Linked DNA regions of Drosophila melanogaster. The protein of the gene in region 2 interacts with the protein of the main gene of each other region in a pairwise test. Each region holds a gene or a part of one and is shown on either strand. Other genes may lie near its edges.

Evidence for each region. The genes of interacting proteins can lie anywhere in the genome.
Region 1: the proteins of CG13042 (region 2) and CG31038 interact in a two-hybrid assay, tested with the Drosophila melanogaster proteins (one large-scale study listed by BioGRID).

The regions. Positions count from the first base shown.
Region 1 is NT_033777.3:29,875,109-29,878,863, reverse strand, and holds the start of CG31038 (uncharacterized protein), read right to left. Parts: upstream 1,806-3,755; 5' UTR 1,749-1,805; exon of another isoform or gene 938-1,748; 5' UTR 493-937; coding exon 1-492.
Region 2 is NT_037436.4:16,307,212-16,310,481, forward strand, and holds CG13042 (uncharacterized protein), read right to left. Parts: upstream 1,270-3,270; 5' UTR 1,205-1,269; coding exon 1,193-1,204; intron 1,129-1,192; coding exon 787-1,128; 3' UTR 635-786; downstream 1-634.

The DNA of each region.
Region 1 (3,755 bases), on a different chromosome or scaffold from region 2:
AATTTTCCGTGGCCTGGGAAGTGGCTGACTGGCCGGCTGGAGGCCCGCCCTCTCGAAGTCCACCTTTCCCAGGCTCAAGCGGGTGTCCTTGCGGGGTGTGGTCTGTGGCGTGCTCCCGATCACGCTTATCGAGTTATGCCGGTTGACCGTGACCACCGAGGTCATTGAATCCCTGGGCTTGGCCGTGGGCACATCCGGTGCCTTGCGCAGCTTCAGGGGCTTCACCGGCGGCGTTGGCACCGCCGTGGTGGGCGTCTGGGTCTGGGCCTGTTTCTTGGGCAGATTGACCGTTGGCGACTTGTAGACCAAGGTACGACCCACTGCACTCAGCTGGCTCACGAAGGTGGGCTTCTTCTGAATGATCGGAGGGGCTCCTGCTCCATTGGCCAGCTGAGCTGCTGCTTTGGGCCTGGGCGGCACTGGTGGTCCTGGCCGCTTCACCACCATCGTGTTGGTGGTGGTGGCTGCTGATCCGGCGGCTGTGGTGGCCATTGGTGGTGGTGGTGGTGCCTTCGCTGTGCTACACGTTCTCACGCCAAAACCGCACTCGAAACCAGTATTTTTAGGTCACTTCTCGAACGGCAAGCCAGAGACTACTGCGCTTATTTATTATTATTACTTAGCATAAGCGCGCAAATGGGAAACTAGTTTTGCTCTTCTCACATGGCGATCTCCTCCGCAGCTCCTCGTCACCACCTCATCCACATCTCCTCCGGTCTCTCGAGTCGATCTCTGATCTATTTTGAATATAGGCCAATGCAACGGAGCTAGTTGGATGCTGGATATTGTAAGTTGGATTGCTAGTTGAACGTTGGATGTTGGATGTGCCAAGTAACACTTTATTGGTCGGCTATTCAGTTATTCGATATGGAATATAAGCATGGCCGCCGCTCGGCTCTTTGCTCTTTTGCGAAACTCGTTTTCGATCTTTGGGGTTCTGTGGATTTTAAAGTGAAAGGGTTCCGTTTATTTTGGTTTTGGGTCTCTGCATCGGGCAATGGAAACTTTGCGACCAACAACGCCGTGCCATTTAATTGTTCATTAGTTTGGAAAAAGAATAAGCGACCTAATCCTTGGATTCTGATCTGTTTAAAGTGAAAGGGGATTGGTTTTCTGACTTGGACCTATGAGATGGGAACATTAACGCTTAAGGCTTGTTATATCAATTAACAAAGCTCCTCCATTTAGATAATTATCTATATATTGATAAACTGAAAACAATATGGGTACAACGATAAACAAAAGACTTAAGTAAAACCATATAGGCACTGAAAACACTCTTTATAAGTCGGGGCCTTTAAAAGAATGGCGCTGGCAATTAACGGTTTTTGTTGTTTGCACAAAGAAGTTTCACTTTAGCACTGAATTCGGCACTAGCTGGATCTCGAGTTTACGATTTTTTAACAGCCTTTATTTGTTTAAATTTTACGTGTATAATTTAAGCACTGCACCCACACCCACACGTAAATCACTGAACCGATTTTTAAGGCGGGGGAGCATGAGTTTACAGGGTTTCCATTTTATCGGATCGGTTCGTTGGGAAAACCCCAAGATATGATAGTTATCTCTTGGGTATTCTAATGATTGAGTGAATCACCAAACAGTAAATACTGCACTTTTGCGCTTCAAATAGCCAAGACCATTGCAGCGGACACACCAACTCGCACACACCCGGGCACACTCACACACACTAGCACGCAGATGCGACCGACACGGATGCGAATACGATTCGTTTTACGATACGATACAGATGCGATATATCCGCTGTACGATGCGCTTTGCACGAGAGCCAGAAGTGAACTGAAACCGAAACGGAGAGAAAGATTCGAAAGAGCGAGGCTCAGCGCACCTTGCTCAACATTGTTGTTGCTACACGGCCGCACTGGTATGCGTGTGTGTGTGTGTCTGCGAGTGCGACAGTGTGGGTGCCTTGGGTAAACGAGTGACGCGGCACAACTCGAAAAGTCTGCACTTCAAAGATAATTTTGCATCGCATGCAGTCACGCAGTTACTCTATTATTTACCAAGCTGAATGCAAATAAATTCGGTTTATTTTTATTTGTATGTAAAATGAATTATATTTCGTTACAAAAATATAGGTAAGCATTTTAAACTATTGAGTAAGTTCTTGTATTCGTGTACAAAGGATTATTTTAGGAACAATTATTTCTTATATTCCACTGTGAGCACCTACGTAAATAAGGAACTTGGCTTCTTAATTAAACAACAATTTGAAATTGATTTCAACGCAAATGTTTCGTATCTTTTACTACTGTACCAAACTATATAAACCAAACCCAAAATACACGGTTAAAGTTCCGAAAAGTTAGAAACCAAACGGGTTGAACTTTAAATTAACTTTAGCTTTTCAACCGCAACCGAATGGAACCCAACCAGCTCTTATACACCGCTGCTCCTCTCTTTTGGCCGATTCTCTGCTCCTCTCCAGGTTTTCGGAAGAGAAACTTGGCACATGGCCAGAAGTGCATTGATTGCTTCTTGAAACGGGTGGTGCTGGAGTACGATGACGATGATGAGGTTCCCCGGTTGCCGGCGTCTGGCTGCTGCTCGGTTTTCCTTTTTTTGGGGGGTCGTCTGGCGTTGCAACAGCTGTTGTTGCCGCATCGCGACAAAGCACCCGCCACCCGAACTCCCCAAAAAAAAATCTTTATTGATTGCCTGTGCAAGTACCGGAGTACGTGCCGTAGGGTGGACTTTCATGGGGAATCATAGCCTATATACAAGTTAATGATCAGATATAACAAGAAAGCCAAGCGTTTAATAAATTACTCATACGACCTGTTAGGCAAGCTAACATAGATTCCTAACACGATTCCTCTTTCGGAAACATCCCATGACTTTATTTTTATGGAGAAAGTAAGATCCCAACCAGGACATTTATTTTACTTAATATTGCTTTTGGATACTGACATGCCTTTCCTTGTGAAAATCAAATGAAAAGGTCCACACTACGTATGAGTGATTTGTATGAGTACTCATGAGTACAACTCAGGTCCACCCTAACAAATATGCAGAAATTTTGCAGAATTGCTGCGCCATGAATGCATACAGTACATATAAAAACATAAACATAGCCAGTGTAAGTAATAGCTCTAATCGTGCTTCCCTTTCAGCACTTTTACTATTGTCATTGCTAAGCAAAAGGACCCAGAATGCGACACTAGAATGGCCACGTTATTTATGGTGCCACATAGCATTGCACATACTACTTGTCGCAGACTATCAACTTCGTTTTCGGGGGTAATGCCATTTGAAACTGACGCATTCATTATTGAGCGAGTAGACGGTCAGCCCCAAACTATGCAAATCAGGCGGGACGGCAAAAAGGCAGTCAAAGGGAGTCAAACCATTCAAACCGAAGGCTGTTCCACTCAAGTCTTGCATTTCACTTGCTCCCTCATTAATTATCTATACGTCATCCCTTCCCGGAATTATAATACCTAAGATTTACGAATGTCTGCAGTATCAGTATAGAATTACAACCGCCTGTTTACTTTGCCAGCTACTTAACTTTCAACCAGCTCGCACCTCAGGAAGCCCCAAATATGAAGGTTAAGCTTTGCTAAATACCATGCCTGGCTGGAGGAATGAATGTTTAGACGTACTCTAATCCGGAAGCACTTCAAAACCAAACCCCCGCCAACGTAAGTTTCGTTGGTAGAATTAAAGTTACATTTAGCGTCCTGGTTGCACATATTTACTTTACACAAAATATATATCATTTAAAAGTTAAT
Region 2 (3,270 bases):
TTGACATTTGTTTTGATTGGGAAATTACTATAGTGCTGTAGCCATACTTACAAAAATACAGCTACAATTTGAAAATTTGGGCTTTAAATGCCTTTTTAAATTGAAGATACAAATTAATATAATATAATATAATATACATATATTATATATATAATATATAATTATATATATAATATAAGTTCACATTTCTTATAGTTGTAGATTACTACTGAAAAAAAATTGGATTACTAAACAAAACTTGTTTTGAGTTGAAGATTAATTGATCTTACATAGTGCCTGAAATTTGGAATTTTTTTAAACAGTCATCAATTTCTATGTTATATTCAGATAGAATTAATTCATTAAGGATATACTATTGTTCATATATGTACTACTATAAATGGTATAAGTAGAGTATTGAAAGCATAATTTAAACAACGAACAATAAACAATAATTGCTTGATAACGATTTAGAATAAAGTACTATCCAAGATAAATTTCAAAACACGTATAAACATCAAGCAACCAAATCGTGATAGATAAGAACTACCAGCCACATAAGTTAAGGTAAAAGCACTGATACCGAGTTCTTATCTAACTTCTAGTGAACTGGTAGCATAAAGTGTTTTTCCATTAAGAAATATGCCACAGAATTATTTTGAGCATGAAACATGGATTTATTTACATCAGTCGAAATGTGAAAGAAGAAAAACAAAACAGCAGGGTTGAGAGTTTAAGCATGGGATCGAGGTGAGGGTAAGCCAAAGTTGCTAGCCCACGCAATGCCATCCAGGACCTCCATCACATTTACCAGGACGGAGCCCAGCCATGGCCAGCCCAACCATGTCCGGCCCACGGAGACGAGAGGAGGGTCGTGTGGAGGGCAGGAGCCGCATAAGTCTTGATGATGGGAGCGGCATAGGTCTTCACCACCGGAGCCACAATCGGTTGGATGATGTGGGCCGAGCTGTGCACCTGGCTGATGCTCTGGTGGGAGACGGCACTGGGCACGGTCTTGATGATGGCGCCCACCTTGGCCAGAGCCGGTTCATGGATGATGGCAGGAGCGGCATAGCTGTGGAGCAGTGGACCAGACTCCAAATAACCCGGACGGGCAGCCACGACGGCGAGCAGAGCGAAGAACACCACCTTTTCGATGAAAATTATAGCATTAGGTCCAGAATCATGTGACTTGGCCATAGGGTAGACTCACCAACTTGTACATTTTGCTAATCCTTGCGATCCTGGTGCGCTAGCTATTGGCTGAACTACTGAACTGTTGGTCTGTGTTGACGCCTCGCCGATTTGTGTGGTTAGCTCCAAATTTGCAGCGGCTTTTATAGTGCCCAAAAAGCCGAGCAGAGCCCATGTGCAACCGAATCTTAAAATGCAGAAAATACAATAATAATAATTTTCTTGCTCTTTTTTTTTTGGCCATTTGCTATTTTCCTCCTTCAAGCATCGTTAAGAAAAGCTGAAAAATAACGCCAACGGGGAGTTCGCCGAGTTTGCATGTGCAGCAGCTGATTCGCTTTGTCTTCGGCCAGCTTTTTGGCCAGAAAATACCAGCACACCCCACTCCCCCCACAACTCGGCAAATGCCCAAATGGCCAACTGACCGAGTGTGGTGGCCACTGCCCACCTAAGACATCGTACCCCATTAGGTTGCAAAAAAAAAAGAAATAGAAACCAGTCAAAATGTAATGTCTGACCGAATGGGTTGAGCTCACAGACGTTAGGTTTCTGGCCCATTCGGGCAGTTGGCCAGCAGCCGCCACTTTCAGCACTTCAGGCCAAGACGGGTGTCGCTGAAAATGTGCTTCGCACTTGTCATTTTCCTCCTCGCAACTGACCGTGAAAATTTCCCCTAGCTGCAACACGCACAGCAGCCGCAAACCGAACTCGCCCAAAGTAGTCCAAGTTCAATGGAAACGCACTTGCGTGTATCTGTCATGGCCAAAACATAACTGGCTCTGATGTCCGGAGGGGCGGGGGGATTTGCCTCTTCGGCTGTTTCGTCTGCGGTAGAAGGCCAACGGAGGCGGAGGTAATAGCGGTGGTAATGGAGGAGGTAGTGGTAATGGTAATGCTATCGTCACCGCGTTGAGAAAGGAATGTGCGCAAACTCGCTGGCCAATTTGTTTGCCCATCACGTCGGCCAACGAACGCGAAACGAAATGAAAATGAATTTCTTCATATTTTAACAAGCCTCACAGTGGTTTTTAATGTTTACTTCATTTCGCTTTCAGTGCGGAGATGAGTAGGAAAATACTATCACGAGAATTTCGAATAGTTATATCTGGAGAAGTACTTCGGAACTTTTGGAAGTGAGTACATAGTTTTAAGAAAATATAAATGAGAATTTCTTTTTGAACTGTATGAGTATCATTTTTCTTGCCTCCTTAAATAGTAAAACGTGTGCTATAATAAAAATATCTAATTGATTTTATTATATATTAAATTCCAAAACAAAATTGTAGCTTCATGAGCAGTGCTATTTATTACATTTTCCTTTACTAAACTTAAAAATATAAAATAAATTTTATTTAATTTTTTCTTATTTTTCAGATGTAACATATTTAAGATATCTAAACCGAATTAATCTCCGAATATACTTTGCTTTACTGTATCTTTTATTTCTTTGGGCAACGACAGCACTCCCTTCCTTTCTCCGCCCCTTTTTTTCCGTTCGCATTTTCAGGTTATGCTAATCTCGGCCTGCAATTGTCTGGCATAACAATGGCCAGCTAGACGGGCCAGCGATAAAGCACCAGAAGGCGCAAATCCAAAGACCGCCACAATCACAGCCACATCCCACATAGAACCGCACTCGGGACTGGTCTGGAGTTCCGCTTTGTGTAATAAGCAAACATCGATGGCGATTGCGCAGGCGCGCAGATCACTCATACGCCATGGACGCAGTGGTGGCGGCAAAAAGGGGATTAAGATATATATGATGATTTTCCTGACTAACCACTTTAGATCTTTGGCTACTTGGTTGTCACCTTACATCCCGTTTTTAATGATCCCCTCTAATATTTTTTGCATTTGCCACTGCTTGCAAGTGACAAACACAACTGTACCTTCAATGGTGTTCAACTGTAGTTGTATTTACCGCCGTTATGGTGATTTGTCAGCAATTTTTAGCATGATTAATGAATGTTTCAATCCGGCGACACAACTCCCTCTTCCTCCAACCCACCGCTTTGTTAGCCGAAATTCTTGAGTGACTTTTAATAGATTTGAGTCTATTTCTGTTAAATTCCTTGGCAATATCCGGGCTGTGTGCTT